Cricetulus griseus: one gene and its partners. The protein of the gene in region 1 interacts with the protein of each later gene in a pairwise test. Links are inferred from orthologs where the notes say so. Each region holds a gene or a part of one and is shown on either strand. Other genes may lie near its edges.

Evidence for each region.
Region 2: the proteins of Fxr2 (region 1) and CUNH10orf62 interact in binary tests that used the Homo sapiens proteins (3 or more experiments, as listed by UniProt). The two-hybrid records come from large-scale screens. The link is inferred for Cricetulus griseus from reciprocal best matches to the Homo sapiens genes FXR2 and C10orf62.
Region 3: the proteins of Fxr2 (region 1) and Scel interact in binary tests that used the Homo sapiens proteins (3 or more experiments, as listed by UniProt). The two-hybrid records come from large-scale screens. The link is inferred for Cricetulus griseus from reciprocal best matches to the Homo sapiens genes FXR2 and SCEL.
Region 4: the proteins of Fxr2 (region 1) and Zmat2 interact in binary tests that used the Homo sapiens proteins (3 or more experiments, as listed by UniProt). The two-hybrid records come from large-scale screens. The link is inferred for Cricetulus griseus from reciprocal best matches to the Homo sapiens genes FXR2 and ZMAT2.
Region 5: the proteins of Fxr2 (region 1) and nucleoside diphosphate kinase A interact in binary tests that used the Homo sapiens proteins (3 or more experiments, as listed by UniProt). The link is inferred for Cricetulus griseus from reciprocal best matches to the Homo sapiens genes FXR2 and NME1.
Region 6: the proteins of Fxr2 (region 1) and Mbip interact in binary tests that used the Homo sapiens proteins (3 or more experiments, as listed by UniProt). The two-hybrid records come from large-scale screens. The link is inferred for Cricetulus griseus from reciprocal best matches to the Homo sapiens genes FXR2 and MBIP.
Region 7: the proteins of Fxr2 (region 1) and fructose-1,6-bisphosphatase 1 interact in binary tests that used the Homo sapiens proteins (3 or more experiments, as listed by UniProt). The two-hybrid records come from large-scale screens. The link is inferred for Cricetulus griseus from reciprocal best matches to the Homo sapiens genes FXR2 and FBP1.

What each region holds. Positions count from the first base shown.
Region 1 is NC_048600.1:83,483,175-83,486,674, reverse strand, and holds part of Fxr2 (fragile X mental retardation syndrome-related protein 2), read right to left. Parts: intron 1,048-3,500; coding exon 995-1,047; intron 683-994; coding exon 589-682; intron 1-588. UniProt on the Homo sapiens protein: mRNA-binding protein that acts as a regulator of mRNAs translation and/or stability, and which is required for adult hippocampal neurogenesis. Specifically binds to AU-rich elements (AREs) in the 3'-UTR of target mRNAs.
Region 2 is NC_048596.1:19,496,463-19,498,836, forward strand, and holds the end of CUNH10orf62 (uncharacterized protein C10orf62 homolog), read right to left. Parts: intron 2,183-2,374; 5' UTR 1,735-2,182; coding exon 793-1,734; 3' UTR 501-792; downstream 1-500.
Region 3 is NW_023276807.1:255,218,610-255,222,109, reverse strand, and holds part of Scel (sciellin), read right to left. Parts: intron 2,903-3,500; coding exon 2,810-2,902; intron 1,859-2,809; coding exon 1,787-1,858; intron 1-1,786. UniProt on the Homo sapiens protein: May function in the assembly or regulation of proteins in the cornified envelope. The LIM domain may be involved in homotypic or heterotypic associations and may function to localize sciellin to the cornified envelope.
Region 4 is NC_048595.1:200,734,123-200,738,402, reverse strand, and holds the start of Zmat2 (zinc finger matrin-type protein 2), read left to right. Parts: upstream 1-1,480; 5' UTR 1,481-1,619; coding exon 1,620-1,637; intron 1,638-1,969; coding exon 1,970-2,063; intron 2,064-2,979; coding exon 2,980-3,103; intron 3,104-4,280. UniProt on the Homo sapiens protein: Involved in pre-mRNA splicing as a component of the spliceosome.
Region 5 is NC_048600.1:106,872,426-106,875,925, forward strand, and holds part of nucleoside diphosphate kinase A, read right to left. Parts: intron 1,842-3,500; coding exon 1,729-1,841; intron 1-1,728. UniProt on the Homo sapiens protein: Major role in the synthesis of nucleoside triphosphates other than ATP. The ATP gamma phosphate is transferred to the NDP beta phosphate via a ping-pong mechanism, using a phosphorylated active-site intermediate.
Region 6 is NC_048598.1:146,092,768-146,096,267, reverse strand, and holds part of Mbip (MAP3K12-binding inhibitory protein 1), read right to left. Parts: intron 1,719-3,500; coding exon 1,653-1,718; intron 1,419-1,652; coding exon 1,266-1,418; intron 941-1,265; coding exon of another isoform or gene 915-940; exon of another isoform or gene 1-914. UniProt on the Homo sapiens protein: Inhibits the MAP3K12 activity to induce the activation of the JNK/SAPK pathway. Component of the ATAC complex, a complex with histone acetyltransferase activity on histones H3 and H4.
Region 7 is NC_048596.1:280,490,886-280,494,385, reverse strand, and holds part of fructose-1,6-bisphosphatase 1, read left to right. Parts: intron 1-242; coding exon 243-386; intron 387-2,480; coding exon 2,481-2,618; intron 2,619-3,500. UniProt on the Homo sapiens protein: Catalyzes the hydrolysis of fructose 1,6-bisphosphate to fructose 6-phosphate in the presence of divalent cations, acting as a rate-limiting enzyme in gluconeogenesis. Plays a role in regulating glucose sensing and insulin secretion of pancreatic beta-cells.

The DNA of each region.
Region 1 (3,500 bases):
CATAATAAATCTTTAAAAAAATAAACAAAAGAATTGGAGAAAGCATTCGGACACTTAAAAAGGATTCCTAAGCCCACAAAAATAAAACCAGAGTAAGGAGATACTAACTGAAAGTATGAGATCACTGAGTTTTAATTATTTCATTTTTCTTGTAGTGGCCAAGAGCTCATGGCTGTCCTGACCACCACTTGTGAGCTGTGGCACACTCCTGCCTACAATCATGCATACACACCCCACAAACACACAAATATGCCCAAGGCGCTGGGTTCAATTCCAAGTCTCACTCACACTCAAACTCACATATGTATACTACAGGACTAGACTTTAAGTGGATTTATCACACACAAAGAAGTGTCCCCTTTAAACTGGTGCACCCTCAGATCATACCCATGAAATCAGTTAAGTTAAAAACCCAAAATCCAGCTGAGTCATGTGGATCTCTATGAATTTGGGACCAGCCTGGTCTTCAGACAAGTTTTCAGGCAGCCAGAGAAGCCCTGTCTTGACTAAACAGAACAAAAACAAAAACAGAATCCTGAGGGGAAAAAGGCAAACTAACACTGGAAAGCTGGACTTCACAGGCCTTACCTCGACCTCATCACCTTCTGTGATCTCCTTATTATAGTCAGCTGGAGGTGGTAGCCGGACATCCCCAAAAGGAATCTGTCTCTCACTTTGCCAGCTACAAGACAAGCAGTGACATGAAAGCTATTCAGGTTGATGTAATTGTCCACCTTTTCACAAGGGATTACTCCCTTGCCAAGACCACTTTTATCCTACTTGATCGTCAAAGAGTCACAACAGGCTCTTTTTCCATAGTGGTCTTTTATCCCTTGATACCAAGTATCAAATGACTACAACTTGCACCTAGCTATCTGCCCTTTCTTTCCTGGAATTCTTACCCAAACTCTCAGCTCCTCCCTGCCACCTACCAGTCTCCACCTTTCACTCTCCTTTTAGGACCTAGTATGTTTGTCTACTCCCAAGGTCTTACTTGTTTTCAAAGAAGATGGTGACAGAGTCTTCATGGACATCCTTCACAAAGCCCTAGAAAAAAAAATTTAGGAAACATATGTAAATATATTTAACCACCTTAGCCATCAGGAAGAGAAATCAGAAACCTTTAAAATTAAGAGGTTTAGCAGGGGATGTGAACAGTCTAAAACAATCAGGAAGCTGTATTGGAAAAGGATATAAAGAATAAGAGAAAGGAAACCATACTGACAAAATCTAGAAATAACATGGGATAAGAAAAAAGTAGAAGCTCCACCAGAACAGTCTGGAACCTGGTGATCTACTAAGGGTTCCAGTTACCTTGCCATTACTCTGCCTCCTGGTGTGCAAAGCAGCTTGCCGGAGTTCAATTAAAATACCAGCAACTTTCAGCAAGGCTAAGAATATCCCCCAAGACAGTATATGGCTGGACTAAAACACCTAGAGGACATCAGGGCCTGCCAAGAGAGAGAAGGGTCTAATTCCCTAGAGACCTGGGGAATTTAGAACCCAGATGCCTGAGTCCTTGGAGAATAATGGGAACACTGGAGAAGTTCAAAATAAGCAGTTTACAGGAAAAAAAAAAAAAAACAACAAAAACTAGAATTGAAAAGATGTCATATTGCTAAAGGGCAAAAATAAAGGCTGAATTTGAAACTAAAATATATGAGACACCGATCTTGAGATCACAACTAAAAGAATCATTAAATAGTGGCTATTTCCTTTTTTCCGAAGGCCAAAACTGTATATTCAACCTATAGTCTCAGTTCTTTCCTTGTCTCCCTATTTTTCACACACAGATTTCTAGTTTTGACAAAGTACAATTAATTTATCTTTATGGTAACAGATTTTATTTTAAAGACAGTAGCCCAGACTGGCCTCAAACTCATATGTAGCAGAGCCTTTAACTTCTGATTTCTTGTCTTTATCTCCCAAGTGCTGTGATTACACGTGTGCACCACCATACCCAATTTATCTGGTGCTCAGTGTTTTGTGCACGCAGTTATTAGCCGCACTATACCCCCAGCCCAAAAACTGCTTTCAATTATTATACTTCCTGATTTTTGATAAAAGTGAAAAGAATTTGGAGAAAGGAGAGTCCTTTTCAACAAATGGTATTGGAAAAACTAGATAGCCAGACACAAAAAAGTGAATTTGGTACCTGACTTCATATACATGATTTACCTCAAAAATTTTAAATGGGGACTAAGAACTGGCTCAGCAGCTAAGACAATTTGCTACTCTTGCAGAGGACCTAGGCTCTTATCCTAGCACCTACATGAGTGACTCACAACCACCTCTAACTCCAATTCCAGGGGACCCGACCCTGTCCTGTGCAGGCAGCAGGTACATATGTGGCACCACACAGACAAACATTCATATATATCAAACTTTTTAAAATTTTTTTGGGGGTTGGTTGAGACAGGGTTTCTCTGTGTAGCTTTGGAGCCTATCCTGGCACTCGCTCTGGAGACCAGGCTAGACTGGAACTCACAGAAATCCGCCTGCCTCTGCCTCCTGAGTGCTGGGATTAAAGTCGTGTGCCATCAACATCCAGCTACAAACTTTTTAAAACAATTTAAAAGTATTTTTAATTGTGTGTAGGTGTGTGTGACTGTTTGTGGGACTGTGAATGTTGAGTGCAATGCTCCAAGCAGGCCAGAAGTGTTGTATACCCTGGAGCTGAAGTTACATAGTTGTGAGCCCCCTGATGTAGGTGCTGGAATTGAACTCAGGTCCTCTGGAAGAGCAAGTGCTTTTAACTGTCTCTCCTGTCCTAAAAAAAAGTAAAAAATAAACTTAATGTATCATGAGACAGGCATGGTAGAGTACAGATAAACCTAGCACTCAAGTGAAGGCAGAAAGAACAGAATTTTAGGACCGTCCCTGGGGGAGGTACCTGCAGACACCAGGCATACAAGTAGTAAACAGATACATATGCTGATAAAATACTCATATACAGGCTGAGTGTTGTGTTGCACAGCTTTTTTGGTCCCAGGATTTGAGAAGTAGAGGCAGGTGGATCTTTGTAAGTTCAAGGTCTACATAACAAGTTCCAGGCCACCCAGCCACCCAGATGCATAGCAAGGCGCTGTCTCAAAAAAAAAGAAAAGAAAAGAAAAGAAAAATTTAGTTGCTGATGGGCGGTGGTGGCACAGGCCTTTGATCCCAGTATTCAGGAGACAGAGGCAGGAGGATCTCTGTGAGTTTGAGGCCAGTCTGGTCTTCAAAGCGATTTCTAAGACAGCCAGGTCTACATAGAGAAACCCTGTCTCAAATCTCAAAAAAAAAAAAAAAAAGTGAATAAGAAATTAGGGGCTTTGGCTGGAGTATATAGTTTAGTGGTGGTGCTTAACATGTACAGGACCCTGAATTCAAACATCAAAAACAGTAAGAAAGGCAAATACTACAAAAGGCTAACAATATTCAAGGACCAAACCTGAACATTGTGAATGGGGATAGTGGCAGTGCTTAAGAGAAAGTATACCAATAGTGCTCTAGAGGTG
Region 2 (2,374 bases), on another chromosome or scaffold:
AGGCGTTCAAGGTTAGCCTGGCCTACATAGTGAGTTCCAGGACAGCCTGGGCTACATTGTGAGACCCTGTCTCAAGAGAACAAGTGAAAGCCCCAAGTAGTCTGAATATTGGTGGCAGATGCAATAGCCACTGTCACAACTCAAGCAACGGTGACATGACTCAGATGTGTCTCTTACAGTTTTAGAGCTGTGGACACATGGATCCTCATGAATCCCCAGGGACCTGAGATGGCACCAAGAGGATGGGGCCCAAAGTCCTACCTGGATGACTTATGGCTTACTCTGTGATGAAAGCCTGACCCTGGTCCCCTCTCCCCATCACCTGGCTTCATCCTGGTCTCTTGGTAGGCAGGTGGGTTTGAAGCCTCTGGCAGTACTAGTCCCAGTACCTGAAGCCAGGGAAACTGTTATGGTTTTAAGTCTGGTGCAATGAGAGGTCCCCAGCCAAGGCCCACTCCTCCAACCCTGCCCAGAACTCAGATGGACACAGAGCCCCTGGACACAGAGGGCATGTAGGGCTTTATTGGCTCCATTCAGGCATGTGGAGTCAGTGTGGGGCTCATGGCTGCTCCTGTAATCTGCCTCATGTCTTCTCTCGTGGGTCTTCAGGGCCCTTGGGCTATTGTAGCTGCATCCCTTCCTCCCTTCCTCATGATGCCAGCTGGGGCCAGAAGTAGGGATTTGGGTGGCAGCCTCTCACCCTGGACCACATAGGTTTCCCCAGAGAAGAGAAAACAGGCCTGTGTATGTGAGCCAGCCCTGTTGGGGGAAGGGGTACGTGGTTACGTGGCTTCAAGAGTCATAGATTTGTTGGCTGCGGCTGGGCAGACTATGGCTCTGATGGCTTGTGTGACCTGGCTGACCCTGGTGACTCTGGCTGCTTGAGTGACCGGGAAGACCCTGGTAGTTTGAGTGGCTCGACTGACTCTGGTGGTTTGAGTGGCTCGATTGACTCTGGTGGCTTGAGTGGTCCGGATGACACTGGTGGCTTGAGTGGCCCGGATGACTCTGGCGGCTTGGATGACTTGAATAACCCTGGTGGCTCAAGAGACCTGGATGATGACACTGGTGGCTAGCGTGTACAGGATGATTCTGGTTGCTCTGGTGGTTTGAATAGCTGTGCTGGTTTTGATGACCATGGCGACACTGGCTATAGACAGTGCGCGTTTGGTTGGCACCAGCTACGGTGCTTTCCCGGTGAGCGAGGAAATTCCCCTTCAGCTTTATCTCCACCTCCTCCAGAGCCTTCAGCTCTTCTGGGCTGATGTCCTTGGATTCCACATGGCCTCCACGCTGGTAAACCTTGGCGCGTTTTAGCATGGAATTAGCCAGGTGATGTCCCTTGGCATCAATGTCCTTGGCACATGCAGCCACCTCTGCCCATGTTTCATTGTCCATCGATGAGGTCTTTCCTGACTCCCTCTGGGTCTCTTTGGTCACTGAGGTCCCAGATACCTTGTGTTTGCTGGCAAAGGAATCTCGGTGCAGAGCCATGCCCCCTTCTCCATGTGTGGAGGTGAAGGTATCCATGTGGATAGTGGTGCTTGCCTCCACCTGCCTATTTTCACATGAGGGGCCATTGTAGCTGGCATAGTGGTGGGTGGGCAACCTCTCTTCGGAGAGGCGGCTAAAGTGAGATTTGATCCAGCTGTCATTTCCTCGGCAGGATTCGGAAGACCTGACCCCAGAAGACTCTCTGGCTGTCTTCCTTTTCTTCCTCTGAGCCCACAGCATGAGGCCTCCACCTCCTAGCACAGCAAGGACAGTCCCCAGCACCACCTTGCATGATGGTTGCTGGAGGAGCTCTAAGAAGTCCTCCAGGGCCCCAGGCCTCACACAGAGCTAAGAGCACACTGGGAGTGGTGGAGCCCAGATGGTATGGTTCATGCTTGAAAGGGCTCCGGCCCTGCGGGTGTCTGGTGGGTAGGCATCTGCCTCACCCTCCCTAGTATGCCCTCCGACACCTCAGCAATGAACCCCATTGTGAGGAAGGCAGTGGGGGTGGGGTGAGGTGAGGCCACCCCACCACTCAGACCTAGTCTGTTGGGTCTTGTCTCGTCGTCATCTGGTGCCCTCAGTGGAAACTGTCATTTAGCTATGAGGTGCTTCTGCCTTCTGCTTGCAGTACATTCTTCTGCTCTGTCCCTCTTTCCAGTTGTTGGTTTCCCTCATTGTTCCTCATCTAGTGGCCCCCAGAGCACAGAGGATAGTGAGTTAGTTTGGCCATGATAACCTGGGAAACTCTTAGCTGAACTGGCATCTATCCCTGGTCAATATCTCCTGAAGGACCCGTCTCTGCTGTCTGCACAATATATACCATCTCCTGGCTCCATTACAGGGTCCAGAAAGGAAAGGGCCCAGGAAGGAGCTCATT
Region 3 (3,500 bases), on another chromosome or scaffold:
TTAAGTAATTTAAGTAAGTAAAATAGTTTAATGTAAATTAAAATACCAACACACACACAACACAACACACACACACACACACACACACACACACACACACACACGTGCACCTTTGCCAAGGCTATTGGGTTTGTAAATGACAAACAATAACTCAATCCTGAACCTAACTCTAGAGACTTCACAATACACTGTGCATCCTTCAGTGTACACTTTAAGAAAGCTGGAGATATTTGAGGGACATCACTGTCGCCTTAGGGTAAGAAACAAACAGTAGCAAATATATCCTTTTAGAATATTCTAACCTACATATTATTGGTCTGACATGATACAATATTATCTTTTATAGCTACAGTTTTCAAATCTGCATTTGCGTCAAAAGCACATTGAATTTGTTAAAACACAGATGGCCAGGACCCCAATGGCAGAGTTTATGATTCTTCAGGTCTGGGATGGGACCAAGTAATTTCCACTTGTAACAAGTCTGAAGCGATACTGTTGAATCCAGCACAGAAATCACACTTGAGAATTGCTGTCTGTACACATACACACAGATATTCCAATGCCATACACACAGATATTCCGATACCATGTGCACAGCAGTTTACATAGGCAAACCATAGCCAATGGGGCTAAATAATTCAAATGTGGTTTAGTTTCTGTACTTGTATAAATCAAGTTGATATTTTAATGAATTATTCAATAAGTTAAAAAAATCTGGAAAGTAGTATTTAGTAGACCAAGCCTAATTCTAGAGGTTTACTGTTTTGTAAAAATTGATACCACAGTTGTTGGACTTTGTTTCAATGAGACATTTCTTTAGAAATCAAAATGTGTTGATATGCTATCTCATAGGGTTACCAATGTATGAAAACAGAGTGTCATGTAAGCATAGAATCAATGCCTATTCTTTTATCCTACTTGCCAATATTTTGTGTCTTGTCATTATATCATCCCCATGCTATTTATATATGTGCCTATTTCTTTCAGATTCAGTAACTACTTATTATTTTTCTCTCAAATGTTTTGTCTTTTAGTTTAATTAAATGTTAGCAAGAATTACTGTCATGGGGCCACAACGGAGCAAAAATTGAATTAAGAAAAAATTACTTTGGAAGCTATATGTGTAAATTACACACAGGTTTGACCCAAAGAGGTCTTGAGTTGTCCTTGGGAGTTCCCATGCACACAGAAGATTCCCTGAACTATTTGTTGTCTTGGGCTTCATTGAAATAAATTCACACATGTCACATGTGTCTGCATTTATGGACTTTCCATTATATTAACCTATAATTAGGCCAGTTCTCATTTTTTATACTCCTTGAATCCATGTCCTCTGTTATACTTTTGTTGACATCCTTCATTCCAAGCAGACAGTTTCATAGGACATCAATAGTCTGCAATTTAGGTCATGATATGTTGACCTAAAGATATGTCTTCTGTGTTAAATTGGGAGTAAGTAGTAGAGCCTTTGCATTAAGGTGATTGAGATGAAAAAGTTTGTTATAACCAAATAGTTATGCACATTTATGTAATAACATCTGATTGTGAATCTTATTACTTACTCATTAGTTATTTGCAATTCTTTTGAGTATATTTAGTGACTATAAGTCATTTATCAACTACTTATGTTGCGCACAACATAAACATTGTCTGCATAGAACTTACAATATATTAAACTGTCCTCTCTATGAAGGAGGCACACCCTGAAATGGTAGCACCTCCTAAGCAGCATGGATCATTCACAGCTGTAAAAAGAAATGAAATATCTGAAGCACTTTTCCATTACCTACTCTCCACATATGTCCTTGTATAGACAACTGTGTCCTTAGGCCCAGCATTCCTGGTTCCAGTATCGGAACTACAATAAAACCATTGAGTTTCATGTTAAAATGTCACTTGTGAGGATGATAAAAGCAAAAACATTTTCCAATAAAATGCAAAATGTAATATATATATTTATACATATGTATATATGTGTGTATGTATGTACCTTATAAGGATATATATATCTTCTAAACCAACTGTTCAAATGAAAATGTTCAAGTGTTATTAATCAACCTCTGAAAAAATTTTCCACCTCTCCCATTTAACTCTTAACATCCCTGTCTTGTTCTGCTTTAGTATTATTAATGTGAAAACTAATGATTTAATAAAATTGTCTTAGAGCATGCCGATGATTTTAACTGTCTATGTACTGTTTTTTAGTATCTGTTTCCCTGATGCCTAGTTCATTTCTAAACCATAGATTTCCCCAATAAACCTTAAGTTAAAAGTGAACTTTAATTGACTATTCAAACCTCAGGTTCAATGATATAGTCAGGAAGATCTCATTCAAGAATGTGAATGCCTGGGTTAGAGAGATGGCTCAGTAGGTAAGAGCACTTGTTGTTGCAGGGAACCCAGGTTTAGTTCCCAGCACCCACATTGGGTGGCTCCCAGTCACCTACATTTCCTGTTCCAGAGATCTGATACATTCTGGACTCTGTGGGTATCAGTAGATGTGTGGTGCACATACATAGACTTGGGTATACATACATACACATAAAATGAAATCAATAAATCTTTAAAAGAAGAATATCAACATCAATGTCATAATCTTGTTTTATGTGATTTTAGACATTAAAGCAACAATCACATTTTATATTATTCTATGTGCATCCCAGCAATAATTGAGTTGTTGACTCAACAATTTCATGTAAGAGTATTTACATATCAAAAGTTCCATGCTTTAAAACAAATGGCTAGCTTGCATGTAAATAAGTAGACACAGGAATAGTCCTGTCATTGGTTTTATAACTGTCTTTAGTACCTGAGGCTATTTCTGACATCATAAGAATAGACAGAGGTTCTCGTGGACTCCTTGAGTTGAGTGTTGGTGAATCCATTGACTTGACCATCTAGCCTGCAAGAAGAAACATATATATTTGGCCTTCAAAATCAAGGTCATATACAATCATTTTGCTTTGTTAAAGTTGTGCTATATAGATGGTATTTCTTTGTATCTACCAGGTTTCTGCACAGGAATATACATTAAAGTATAGACTGCTTTATTGGTTCAACTGGTTCCACAGAAATTACTGTCTTACCTTCAAGAATAATTCACAAACATGGGCCATGTCATCTAATGCTGTGATTGAATGTATTTTCATCAAGACTAAAATCAACTGAAAATTAGTTCCTCAATCATTTTCATAACAGCAGCGCCCTTTAGAAAGCCTCATTTGTACTACATATCTAAGAATTCATCAGTTTAATGAACGACGCAGGGGCTGCTTTGACACTCTCCAGTTCCCATTTGGTCTTAATGAAAGGTAATGCTTTGAAGACTACAGAAGTCTGACCTAGATTTCTGCTGATCTAAAAATGTCATCATGTTTAACAGAGCATAAAGACATTCAATCTCTCCCATGCAACAGAGGAAATTCTCAATGAAAAAAAAATAGTGGAAATTGTAGCAATTTTTCCTCTTCCGTGTTAGTAAGTTTTGAGAGTAAAGACAT
Region 4 (4,280 bases), on another chromosome or scaffold:
CAGAGCTACAAACAAAACCAATAAGTAAAAATAAATAAATAAATAAGCAAGCAAATAAATAAAAATTCAGCCTTGGGTTTACATGAGACCCTTTTTCAAAACAGCAAAACCTCTGCCTGATGGTACACACTTTTAATCCCAGCAGTGGAGTAGTGGGGCAGAGGTAGTAGAATCTCTTTGAATTTGAGGTCAGCTAAACAAGAATAAAGATTAAAACAAAAGCTGAGCACAGAAAAAGGGAGGATGTTCAGACAACAGGCTGGATGGATAGATGAGGGAAAGCAACCTCAAAGAGGGAGGTTTTTCTTTATTGGGAACACAGATGGGCAGAATCTTGTGACTGTAGAAATACACCAAGGGAACTATACAAAGAGAGTTTCAGGTCAGACAGGTCCAAATAGATCTCATCTAAAAACATACCACTCTTAGCTGGGTGTTGGTGGCCCACGCCTTTAATCCCAGCACTCAGGAGGCAGAGGCAGGCGGATCTCTGTGAGTTCGAGGCCAGCCTGGTCTCCAGAGCGAGTGCCAGGATAGGCTCCAAAGCTACACAGAGAAATCCTGTCTCGAAAAACCAAAAAAAAAAAAAAAAAAAAAAAAAGCCAAAAAAACCAAAAACCAAAAACCAAAACAAAAAAACAAAAACAAAAACAAAAACATACCACTCCTATAATCGTAGCACTTCTAAAGTGGAGGCAAGAGGTTCAGGAGTTTAGTCATCCTCTGCATCATAGTCTGGTGTACATGAGACCGTTTCTCAAACACTACCCTCTCTCACAAACTAGTCAGAGTGCCGAGTGCTTCATTTTGGGGCTGCTGGCTGATGAGTTTCAAGATTACTGTATTGTATAAATTGAATGAGTTTAAATGTTCTCCAGACATGGAAATAAGTGTAACCAAAGTGAAGCATCGTTGTTTCAAGGGAAAAGGACTCATTTAAAAGTGCTTGTCTTTTGTGCATAATTTAGAGCCACACTCAGTACATGCTGGTGAATGGGACTTCCAGAGCCACTGATAAGTGTTTTAGCTTTTAAAATAGATCTAGGTTTACTAGGCAGAGAGTGTGGCTCAATCGGAGTGTTTGATAGCATGAAAGAAGCCCTGGGTCCGAGCTCCAGCACCGCATGAATGGGGCATGGTGGCACACGCCTGTAAACCCAGCGCTTGGGCAGTGGAGGCAGGAGAACTAGAAGTTGAAGACTAGCCTCCACTACATAGCCAATTAGAGTTCAGTCTGAGCTACTGGAGAACCTGTCTTTAAAAATCAAAAAAGTTTAGAAACCCTGGAGATGCAGGTAAAGTTGTTCAGATCATGGGGCACTGTTTCCGAACCTCCAATTCTTTGTAAAATAGAACAGATGAGCTATTATTCTTCCAAGGTTTGTTTTGAAGAAAAACGTTGGCCGGTGCCCTTACTTCCGTGTTGCTTCACGATCCTTTTGCGCTTGCGCCGGCTCATTGGAACAGAGGGCGGGGCTAACAGGACAACCTTAGAATCGCTCCAGTCCTTAACGCAGTTAGAATGTGAGGCTCGAATCTTATTGGAGCGAGATCTTGCCTTATGGCTTCCGGGCGCATTTTACGGCATTTTACGGCTTTCCATTCACTTCGCTGTGAAGATGGCGTCGGGCAGCGGGGTAGGTGTTGGTGTGAGGAGGTTTGAGGGGTCTGGGGTGGTTTTTCGGAGCTAAATAGAGACAGACTGTGAGACTTGGCCGACTTCCTGACACCTCTTCGTGATCTCAGGGTCAAGGTTCGAGAACTCCCCCCGTAAGGCCTTGGCGCAGGGACAGAGGAATCTCGGAAGTCTCTCGGGTTGGGGTCCCGAGTACCCCAGACCCCCGGGCGTTCCAGAGAGACTTCTCTTTCGAAAGGTCCTGGGCCGCCTTGGTGGCAGTTAGGCGGTTCCCTTAGTTTCTTCAGGGGAACAGGCACAACGACGGATCTTGAGCACTTTTTCCCTCTGCAGACAAAAAACTTGGACTTTCGCCGAAAGTGGGACAAAGATGAATACGAGAAACTCGCGGAGAAGAGACTCACAGAAGAGAGAGAAAAGAAGGATGGTGGGTGCTCCTTCATGAAGGGCTAAGGGGATGGTAGAGTTGATGCAGTGGCTCGAGAAGAAATGTCCCAGCAACAGGATGGTTTCTGTTAGCGTGTGAGGACAAGCAGGCAAAAAACCTAAAGCTTCCTCCTTTTCTTTTACGTGAGCTGCCCCAGGGTGTGATCCATATTCAGGGTGGGTTTCCCCATCTTAAATGATCCATCCTCCTCCCAACAAAAATAAAAAATAAACTGCAAATAAGTGTGCCCAGCTGCTTGGGTGTAGTTGATTCCAGATGTAGCCTAGTTGATAACTAATGTTAGCCATAACACGGCATGAAAACATTGAACATTATGCTACAAAGAGTGAATTACTGTCTTATGAAAGGTTTGCTTCTAGCAAAAATTCAGAACTCAGTGGAGGTGGACAACACCTAGGAAACGCTGTTTAAGTTTGCTGTCTTTAAAGTTGGGAAAAGCTCTTGAGAGTTAGAATCACCATCACAAGTTTGAGGGCAGCCTGGTCTCCATAGTGAGTTCCAAGCCAGTTAGAGTTTTTTTTCTGGCTTCTTTTAACTTCTGCATAAAGTATCTGTTGTGTCCCTTCCTTGAGGAATCCAAAAAAAGAAAGAGTAGTCATCTGAATTTTGGGATTCATACATTTCTTTTCCTTTCTGGCTAATAGACTGTAATACTCACCATTGATCTGATCCCCATACTCAGGAGAAGAGGCAGGGGGATCTCTGTGAATTTGAGGTCAGCCTGATCTACAGAATGATTTCTGGTACAGCAAAAGCTACAAAGAGAAGCCCTGTCTTAAAAACAAACAAAAATAAGAAAGAGAGAAAGGAAGGAAGGAAGGAAGGAAGGAAGGAAGGAAGGAAGGAAGAAACTGTAATACTGAAAATTGTAATACTCTTTCTCATTCTATTTCAGGAAAACCAGTGCAGCCCGTCAAGCGGGAGCTTCTTCGGCATAGGGATTACAAGGTGGACTTGGAGTCCAAGCTTGGGAAGACAATTGTCATTACCAAGACTACCCCACAGTCTGAAATGGGAGGGTGAGTAGCTTTTTGTCCTCTAATACCAAGGCTGGCCTAATATTTATATTGGTTTTAGGATGTGTTGACAAGAATCTCAGGCCAGGGATGGCAACCTTATCTACCATAACTCAATGGTTTGTTTTTCTTTGTCCCCTGAAGTTTGAAGTCTACCCAGTCCCAATTTCAAGAAGGGGTGTTCTGTGGGCTGCTTCATATCAGTAGTATAGTATTTTCTTGATATTTTCAAAGGGGTTATATAATCTGTCATGAAAGCACTGAGGTGTTTTACATGGAACTGTTAACAGTAGTTATACCCCAAGACTGTGACCTATAGAAGAGTTCCACAGAGCTTGTCAGCCTTTTGCCACCATTCCTTCAAGACTGTCAAGTTGAAATTTATATCAGGAGACTCATGCAGATAGTAGTTAGCTACACTTTCTCAGATTCTTCAGTAAACCCACTGTTTTGATGTCTTTGCTGTATAAAATAGCAAGTTAAATATTAAATATCATAAAATAATAATAATAGTTCATAGTTTGTGGGCATAGAATTGAGGGATAGTTGGTTACCGTGGAGATTCTTAATCAGAGTCTCCAATGAAGCTGTAGTCATGGAATTGGCTAAGTTTGCATTCACTGGGGCTTAAATAAAGTTGAAGATTCTCTTTTAGGCTTTCATATGCCTATGGTTTGGAGGCTGAAGTTAATCCTGTGGGCCTATTTGTAAGATTGTTCACAATAAAGCATAAAGAGATGAGTTTCCCTAAATCAAGTCATCCTCACAAAGGCAGAAACCATTCTTTATGATGATATAGTCTTGGAAGTGATATACTATCTCTTTTGACATGTTCTGTTCGTTGCACAGAACACTTTGGCACAGATTGGGAGGAAGCTACAAAGGGTGGGAAGACAAGGAGAGTCAGGCTGCCCTGGAGGATGGAGACTATTTTATAAGGCTTTATGAAAATGCTTCTAAAAAGGTGCTGGGAGCCAGATGAAGTGGCTCATGCCTGTAATACCTGTACTTGGGAGGCTGAAGCAGGAGCAAAGTTAAAGCCTACTTGAGCTACAGGGTTAGAGCTTTTCGTTAAAAACAAAACAAAAAAACTCCCAAAACAACAACAACAACAACAAAAAAAACACAACCAAAAAACCAGGCCTGTGGTACACACACACACATTGTAATTCTAGCACTT
Region 5 (3,500 bases), about 23 Mb from region 1:
AAGTCAGCCTCCACCTTCAGAGGCAGAAGACAAAACTCCCATTTAAAAGTGACCTGAGCCAAGAAGTGATGGCTCACACATTTAATCCCAGCACTCAGGAAGCAGAGGCAGGAGAATCTCTGAGTTCAAGGCCAGCCTGGTCTATAGATCAAGTTCCAAGACAGCCAGGGCTACACAGAGAAACCCTGTCTCAAAAAAAAAAAAAAAAAGAAAGAAAGAAAGAAAGAAAGAAAGAAAGAAAGAAAGAAAGAAAGGAAGGAAGGAAGGAAGGAAGGGGAGGAGGGGAGGAGAGGAAGAGACAGAAAGAAAAAAGAAAAAGGAAAGAGAAAGGAAGAAAGGGAGGGAGGGAGGGAGGAAAGGAGGGAGGGAAAGAGAAAGAAAAAAGAAAAAGAAAGGAAAGAGAAAGAAAGAAAGAAAGAAAGAAAGAAAGAAAGAAAGAAAGAAAGAGAGAGAGAGAGAGGGGGAGGGAGGGAAAGAGGAAGAAAAGGAAGGAAGGAAGGATGGAAGGAAGGAAGGAAGGAAGGAAGGGAGAAAGGAAGGAAGGAAAGAAGGAAGGAAGGAAGGAGGGAGAAAGAAAAGACTATCAGGAATTCAAGGATAGCAATTTTGAGGCCAGCTAGCATACTTAAGACATTGTCTCAAAAGCAGCTAAACTTGCCTGGTGGTAGTGGCGGCAGCACATGCTTTTATTTAATCCCAGCACTTGGGAGGCAGAAGCAGACAGAACTCTGTGAGTTCAAGGCCAACAGCTAGTTCCAGGACAGCCAAGGCTACACAGAGAAATCCTATCTCAAACTATCAAAGGCAACCAAACAAACAAAACAACTAAAATAGGGGCAGAGGAGATGCCTTTAAGAGCACTGGCTAGTCCTCCAGAGAATCTGGGTTTAGTTCCCACCATCCACATGAGGCTCACAACTATCTGTAACTCCATTTCTGGGGGATCCAATGCCTTGTTCTAGCCTCCTTGGGCACCAAGAAATATACAGACAAAAAAAACTGTCCATATACATGAAGAACAAGTAAAAAATAAAATAAGCTTTAAGGCTAAAATAGGGCTGGAGAGATGGCTCAGAGGTTTAAGAGCACTGGCTGCTCTTCCAGAGGTCCTGAGTTCAGTTCCCAGCAACCACATGGTGGCTCACAACCAACTGTAATGAGATCTGGTGCCCTTTTCTGGTGTGCAGACATACATGCGGGCAGAACACTGCGTACATAATAAATAAATAAATCTTTAAAAGCTAAAATAAAATAAATAGGGGGCTAGAAAGATGACTCGGTGATTAAAAGCACTGACTGATCTTCCAGGGGTCCTGAGTTCAACTCCCAGCAATCACATAGTGGCTTACAACCACTATGAGGCTGGGTGCCCTCTTCTGGCCTGCAGGCATACATGTAGGCAAAACACTATATACATAATAAATAAATAATCTTGCTGGGCATTGGTGGCGCACGCCTTTAATCCCAGCACTTGGGAGGCAGAGGCAGGTGGATCTCTGTGAGATCGAGGCCAGCCTGGTCTCCAGAGTGAGTGCCATGATAGGCTCCAAAGCTACAAAGAGAAACCCTGTCTCGAAAAAACCTAAATAAATAAATAAATAAATAATCTTTAAAATAAAAATAAATTGACCTGCAGATGCTATCATGTCCATTTCTAGCCTCAGAGGCCCAAATTCTTGTAGCAACTAACTTGGATTTTGGAAAAAAGTGAAAAACACCAATTCTTACCTGCCAACTTGGATGCAAAAGTCTCCTCGAATGGTCCCAGGTTTAGAGTCTGCAGGGTTGGTCTCTCCAAGCATCACCCGGCCTGTCTTCACAACATTCAACCCCTCCCAGACCTCCAAAGGACAAGAGAAGACACAGTCAAGGAAGAAAAACTTAGTAGAAAACCTGGCATCTAGTGATTCTAAACAAAAGAAAAAGGCTCCAGAATTGGGTCCTCTCATTCACTAGATTAAACAGAATGCCTACTTGTTCCAGGACTAGGGATTCTGGTCACCCTGCCCCTACTCTTATCCTTCCCAGATTCATTCATGTGATAGCCAGTGGCCTTTTGAAATGCTAAATATTGCCATTGAGGTAATCCCACCACTCCAGAGGTAGAGGCAGGTGGATCTCTGTAAAGCCAGCCTGGTCCACATAAGAGAGTCCCAGGAAAGACCCTATTTTGGAGACCCCAAGATGTTGGAGATGCCAGAGTCATGGGATACCTGCCAAGAAAAGCTGCATAAGGGGTGTGGAACCAGCTCAGGAGCTAAAAGTATATGGCAGTCAATAAAACTGAAAGGAGTGGGAGATCTGAAGAGTTCTTTGACATGAGACATGGACATACAGAGTTTGGAGTTTGCCCTGCCAGTTTTAGGTCTTGGTTTGGTCCAGACTATCTCTTCACTGTGCTCCCTTTTGGAATGGTAATATATATTTTGTGTCATTGTATGTTGGAAGTTGGTTATTTGCTTTTTTATTTTGATTATACAGGGGGTTACAATTAGAGAATGTCATGAGTCTCAAGAGAAACTGAACTTTTAAATAGTGCTGATACTATGATAGACTATGGAGACATCTGAAGTTGGACTCAATGCATTTTTGCATTGTGATATGGCTATAAACCTAAGGGGGCCAGGAAATGGAATGTGGTAGTTTTAATAATGGCTCCCATGGGCTTATATATTTAAATGCTTAGTCATCAGGGGGTAGCACTACTTAAAAAGGATTAGGAGGTGTGGCCTTGTTGGAGGAAGTGTGTCTTGAGGTTTCTTTTTCCTTTTTTTTTTTTTAAATTATTTTCACCTCTGAAATTGTTTCTTCTTTGTTTTGCTTTTTCTCTCCTTATTTATTTATTTATTTATTTATTTATTTATTTTTAGAGTTATTTATTACATATACAGTGCTCTGCCTGCATGCCAGAAGAGGGCACCGGATCTCATTACAGATGGCTGTGAACTACCATGTGGTTGCTGGGAACTGTGCTCAGGACCTCTAAAATATCAGGCAGTGCTCTTAACCTCTGAGGTTTCAAAGGTCCAAGCCAAACCCAATGGTTCCCTCTTTCTAATGCCTTCAGATCCAGATGTGGAACTCTCAGCTACTTCTCCAGCACCATGTTTGCCTGTGCACAGCCATGCTCCCTGTCGTGATGATGATAGACTAAACCACTGAAACTATGAGCAAGCCCCTAATTAACTGCTTTCTTTTATAAGAGTTGCAGGGGTCATGGTGTCTCTTCACAGCTAAAGAACAGGCAGACCCTGTCTCAAAAAGTCAAAATAAATAAAATGCTAAATATGGTACTTGCCATAATTTCTCAGCACTGGTGATTTAACAGCACAGCCCTGACATTATCATTATGTAGTCCCTGAACACTTCTCATCCTATCTTGCTTCTTACCACCACCCATCCTACCCTTCTTCTTGTACTTTAAAAAGCAAAGTTGTGTCTGGTATGGTGACGCAGGCCTATAATCCAAATACCCTGTAAGTAGGAGAATCAAAAGCTCC
Region 6 (3,500 bases), on another chromosome or scaffold:
CTTTCTAAATATTGCTTATGCATCCCATATTGCTACAAGTTGTTTTACAAAATTCATTTTATGGGATACTGAATAGTTTCCGTATAGAAAGTGTTTCTAATAGATGTTGTAGTTACTTAGAAGGAAAAATACTGAAGTCACAAGATGACAGTTCCACTTGATGGCTGTGCTTATCCTATCATTCTCTTCAAATCCTATTTCTCCTAGCATGGTATATTTTCTCCTTTGACCTAGAAAAATGTTTAAAGGAGTTTTCCCATAATTCTCAATGACAGTTCTTTTAGAGGAGGGCGTGGTGTTTTAAAGATACTTAGACATCAAGTTCATTATTATATTTAGAATCTTTCTACTGTTTCAAGTATCATCCCTGAGACCTGCCTGGTCTAGACCACAGTCTCTCTGCTAAGTACTGAGTTTGCTATGCGTTTGAGAGCTCCAGAGAACTAGTAAAGAATTTTTAGCTGGGTACAAACAACATCAGATATGAGCTTGAAAAACAGCAATTTGGTCACAGGGTGAAAATGACCTAGTTGACCAACAGACCTATCACTCCAAGACAGAGATTACAGTAGTTTCATCTACAGCAGTAGCTGTGGAGGCAGAAGAAGAAACATGCAGGGACATTTAGGAGAATTAAGAGCATGGTAACTAAATGGGTAAGACTATTTGCTTCCTAGCTGTCACTTACTATAATATCCTGGGAGGCTGCCTGAGCTCTTTGGACTTCAGTCTTACTACCTTTCCAATAGTAATAGCACACACCTCCACAGAGTTCTGTTAATCACTAAGTTGATATAGGCACGGCACTTTCAGAGACAGTATTGTTCAAAAAATATGGGCTCATTTCCCCCAGGATACTTACTCATTTATGTGTTTATTGTCAGGAATGCACTGAAGACCAGGACCACATTTATCTACATTTTTGTAGCTGGCAGAAGGGCTAATAACAATTAGAGGTAGTCATACAAGTTCTGAAATTGGCCATAGCAACACATTACATTCATTTTTTGTTGGAACTTCAATAAACCGAGGCTAACAAAATCTATCTAGATCTGTTTCCCAATTTAGAAAGTGTCAAGAAGTATAAGAAGAGAAAGCATGAACACTGAGAACTTTACAGATTCCTCGACAGTAGCAACTGTTTTATGCACCTAGAACGAGGGCTTTACAGTGAATGTTTGGGGAAACTCCGGAAGCTAAATGAATCTAATTTCCTTAAGACTTGCAAAAGCACATTACAGAACATCACCTAACTCTCTACTTACCCGTCTGCAATCGCAAGTGGGCCTCAATATTCTGGAGTCGTTCTTCCACAGCCTGGTTGCCACAGTCTCGAAGCATGCCGGTAGGTTTGTGACCTGACCCTGGAATTCCTTCGGGTCTAGTCTGTGGTCCATATGTATTCACAACTCTAGAAACTAAGTTAAGAAACTTTTAAGCCTATGTGAATTTATGCTCCAAAAGCAGAAATTCTCTCTCCCTTACAGTATATCTTTTCCATAATGGTCACCTAACCAGAAGCTCAAAAAGGAAGAAAGGCAATGCCTTCGGTTTAGAATAAAGTTTAGATGGGAAAAGTATTTCTATTCCACGTTGTTATGAAGCTACAACAAACTTTTGCCAGTGACATATACTATACAGCAGCTACTTACCCTTTACGTGACTTTTAAATCCAGGATAAGGAGTAAAGACGGCATCAGTCCTTGCACAACTATTTTCTAGGGAGAATTTGGATGAATTTAGTTCAAATATATTCTTAACTAAAAATTATGAGATTATGATAAACTCCTAATAATTCATATTTTACTCATGGGAGAATTTTAAAGGACTAATAATTACATTACTATCACATACAGAATAATTTGGGTGGTCTTTATCCTCTGAATTGAATCACAAGTAATATTTTTATGTAACGTTCAGATATACATATAGAGAAACCATTAAGTGACAAAACTTCTGATAATTTTTAATAAAATGAGTTATTACTCAAAATTATTGGAGAAAATAATTCATATATTCTAGAGCCCCATATTCTAACTCCATTATATAAACAGAAGACAATTTACCAAATTATCTTTTAAAAATTTCAGCATTTTTGTTATTACCAAATTAGTGAACATATAACAGAGGGACTGATTGTATATTTTACAGTTTTTTTTTTTTTTTTTTTAGGTCTCAGAACTTTATAGACTTAAAAAGATCCTGAAGCCTCAAGTACAACACACACTGAAATCTCAAGCACAGCACACTTTCCCTCTGTTCCTAGATTTCCAATGTTTATTTTAAAAAGGCCAAACAAAAGGGCATCGCTCTCAATCCTACTTTTTATAAACTGTAATTTTAGAAAAGATACATTGTGAAAATTTTCCCAATATTTTTACCAAGGTGAAAACTACAATTTCTTTTCAATTATGTATGGACAAATAAGTTATAAGGAAAGAAAACAGGAATATGTTAACATACTCATACAATTAAATATTAGCACAATTGTAATATATGAATAATATATATTATATAATGCATTAACCTAGAAACATATGCTAATGCTTGAAGTAATAGTAAAGCTATACATTGGCAGTAAATTTTCTGTTAAATTTCCATAATTATTTGGTAAAAAAAAAAATGGGTGTAAAATGAGTTAAAGTCTTTTGTTATTTCATGAAATCTGATATGAAATCCGATTTTTAAAAACTAATTCTTTTTCTTAGACCAACTGAAAAGTCTTTAAAAATACAGTAACACATTATAATGTATTTTTTAAGCTTAAGTTTAACACATCTGTGATAAGTCAAACTGTAAATAAAATTACAAACCCTCTTAATCTTTTATATTTAAAGACTAAACAGACTCATTTTCTTTTCCTTGGAAACACCTCAAAATATATATAAGAGGCCTACACTTCTCTATTCTTTCTATCCTTTCACTGGTCTTAGGGTATTAAAAAAAAAAAAAGAAAAAAAAGGCTATGTTCCATTCCAGGGCTATATTCCAAATGCAGAGAGCCATCAGTGAGAAATGCAGCGTGGTGCGGGACAGTGAGTGCATGAGGCTAGTCGTTCTCCACAGCAATTCTTGCCAGCACTGTTTTGAGCCAGCAAGGGATTGAATGGGCTAAGGAATCCTGCTGAGCATTTCAATTCTTGCCAATTTCTATCCCCTGATGGTTTATAATAATAGAGTTAGCAGGAAGAACAGAGGAATAACATTAGTGACACATGCACTTGCTCCCTCAACAAACCCTTTCTCTTGAGGTGCACACAACTGATTGGTGCACCTGAGATTTTGCCACTGCCATACCTGTTCTGAAAGGCTAACTCTAGAGATCCACAGAAGTTAACAGTGGAAAAAGTGAGATTTAGAACCCAAAGTGAGCTTACGTTATTATGTTAAGAGTATCCTGTATCAATGTGATTGTGAGTCACTTCCAGGTTCAACTGACAATTCCATGCTCAGAATCACCAGCCAAAAGATATATTAAAGGCAGTAAGAAAAAGGTTAAG
Region 7 (3,500 bases), on another chromosome or scaffold:
GTGTTCACATTAGGATTCGTGACAGTAGCAAAATTCCAGTTAAGAAGCAACAATGAAAATAATTTTATGGTTAGGGGTCACCGCAGCATGAAGAACTGTATTAAAAAGGGTTACAGTATCAGGAAGGTTGAGAGCCACCACATTAGAGGAATATCCTGCCAGGCATCCTGTTGATGGGGGAACTGGAAAAAAGGACCACGAAGCAAAATGAAAACGTGCTTTATTTTCCATTTTTGCTTTAGAAAACCACTGATGGGGAGCCTTCTGCAAAGGATGCCCTGCAGCCAGGCCGGAACCTGGTGTCAGCCGGCTATGCACTCTATGGCAGCGCCACAATGTTGGTCCTTGCCGGGCAGTCTAGTGTCAACTGCTTCATGCTGGACCCGGTGAGACACTTCTGAGGTTGGGTGCTTGCCTAGTAGCTTTGAGCTTGTACATGGTGTGTGTGTGTGTGTGTGTGTGTGTGTGTGTGTGTGTGTGTCCCAAGTGTGTAATGTCCACGGAGGTCAGAAGAGGGTGTTTGATTCCCTGGAACTGGAATTACAGGTGGTTGTGAGCCACCCAGCATAGGTGCTGCAAACCTATTCTGAGTCCTCTGGAAAAGCAGCAAGTGCTGAACCATCTCTCCAGCCCCACTCCCCTTTTTCCTGTAAACAAGGACATCAGCAAACCACACACACACACACACACACACACACACACACACACACACACACACACACACACACACAAAGCACAGCAGGTGTCCTCTTCGAGAGGCAGTTCTCTCTTGAGAGTGTGTGGGGTGTGGCAAACTGCTGCCAATCAGAACATGGGCTACCTTTGATCCTAACACAACTGCACTTTCACCTCCCTGGAGCACGGGCACTTAATAAATAATGTAAGACTGAAGTAGAGATTGACAGCATACATCACAGATCTGGGCCTGGGGCCCCAGGGGAAATAGGGCAGCTTCTGAAAGCAGCAGTGTTTGCTGCAGTGTCACTTGTCTAGGCTGTCCAGTCGCCCTGATCAGCTCCTGGTGCCCTCTCTGCTGCCTCTGAGTTGATAGACTGAAATTCTGTCTATGGTTGCAGATGTGCTTGTGGAGGGTGGATTTCTGGGTGCTGGGCGGCCTCCCTCCCCTCCTCCCTCCCTCCCTCCCTCCCTCCCTCCTTCCCTCCCTTCCTCCCTCCCTCCCTCCCCAGATACGGATGTTTGTTGGATCAGCACAGCGGCTGAAATGCTCCCCTTGCTGACTGCCAGGGCTCCATTTGACTTCAACACTTCTGCTTGGCTCTCTTTGGCCTGATAGAGGTGAAGTTACCCCAGGGAGATGCCAGGTGCCTCCCTTTTCCTCTTGTCTCCCATCTAGGATAAGCTGATGGCTGAGACCATGGATAGAATATCTCCATGTGGGTTTCTAGCAGGCTTCAGCTTTGAATGAGCTTTCATAACTCCTGTCTCCAAATGTGGGAGACTCTCCTCCTTCACCCACTGGGTGCTTAGGCTGGGTACAAGATGGCTGCCTGGGGAGCATGGCTGCCTGAGCTCTGCAGGGGTCTCCGGGTTTCTAGACATTTTAGGTGGAGATACTTACTTTGTCTTCTTGACTGTACAAAAATATTTCTATAAAATTATGGCTCAAAGTTTTAGGAATAACAACAACAACAACAACACCAACAACAACAAAAGCACAAAAACAAAAAAGAGGAGACAGACACACTTGTGGCCATACATTTCTGTGACTGTGGTTAATTCCCTCTTCTCCCCACCCTTTCCTAGCCTCAACATCCCTCCATGTCTTCAGGAATGAGTTAGCAGTCTCTTGGTTTGTATTTCACATACTCCCTCCATTCCTGTCTGTGTCTGAATGGTTTTTCTTTCTTCATTCTTTGACAGTGTCATATAATGAATTTGGTCAGTTTCATCTCCCATTCTTTCTAGCTAGTCCTCTCCTATTTTCCTTCTTCCCTCCCTCCTTCCTCTCTCCCTCTCTCCCTGTTTGTGAATCAAACAGAGATTCATTCATTGCTTGTATGGGGGGCAAGGGCAAGGGCTATTTCTGGGGGATGAGCAATTTATCAATGACTATTACAGTGAAGAAAACGATACCTTCTTCCTAGGAACCATTTACTGACAATAGTCCTTCAGGGAGGGTATGGCCACATGAGCCCCCTTCCTATCTATGATTTTGGAGGTAGGGTCTCACAGTGCAACCCAGGTTGACTTAAACTCCTAATCCTCCTGCCTCAGCCTCTCTGGTATTGAGGTTAGAGTTGTGCTCTCCCATGTCTGGCCTTGTAAACTTTCTTGTTTTATGAAAATCATTAGCACCCTTAAACCCTGGCTTCCCTTTACTCCTTCCATCCTGCTCACCACTAGAGCCTTTGGCTGCTGCAATCAATGTGCCTTGGGGTGAGATATGGTCACAGGTCATGCTTTGTTCATGCCCGGGGGAGCTTGCTGGTCATAGGTCTACCTTCTCCCTTGTTTCAAAGGCCGTCGGAGAGTTCATTCTGGTGGACAAGGATGTGAAGATCAAGAAGAAAGGTAACATCTACAGCCTTAATGAGGGCTATGCCAAGGACTTTGACCCTGCCATCGCCGAGTATATCCAGAGGAAAAAGTTTCCTCCAGTGAGTGAGTAGGCAGGCGGGACTGGTGTGGTATTCAGCTTTGGGAGGCGTGCCCTTTAAAGGAAAAGGGACACTTGGCACCGAGAAGGGTCTGGACTTTATCTGGGACTCTTGCTTTATGAGTAAATCCACTGATGTGAATTATCCTGGAGATGAAAGGGGAGAGAGGTAGAAACCCCTGAAGCTAAGTACTGGGGCTGGAGTGCTTGCATGGAGACACCAAAATTTGAGTATTATTTAGTCTTTATCTCCAAGCATAATCTGGACAATAAATTCAACCAGATGAGCTCCTTTACAATAATAATAATAACAATACATCTGTGTTTCTGAGACCTCTTAGCCCCCAAGCATCTACCGCGTGAGGTCTGCACCTTCACCCCCATGTCTTTGATGGATTTCTGTCTGTTGTATCAGGATGGTCAGTGTCAGGCAGGGAGATGACTCAATGGGTAAATTGCTTGCTTCACAAGCTTGGGGACTGGGGATCCCCCCCCCCAGGTCCAGCTTACAGGCAGCCTGCTTGTAATACCAGAGTAGGGAGGCAGAGAAGGGATCCCCTGAGTGAGCAGTAACCTGGGAGAGACAAATCAGAAGCTCTGGGTTCATGTGAAAGACCGGGTCTCAATATATAAGGTGGAGAGTAATGGAGGAAGACACCAGACATCAACCTCTAGCTTCCACATGCACATATTAACCTATGTACATACCTACATGCATGCTCTCAAACATACACAGACACACACACACACATAGACACAAACACACACACACACACACAGACATACACACAGACACACACCAGAGACACACACACAGACATATACACACAGATACACACACAGACACACACCAGAGACACACACACAGACATACACACAGACA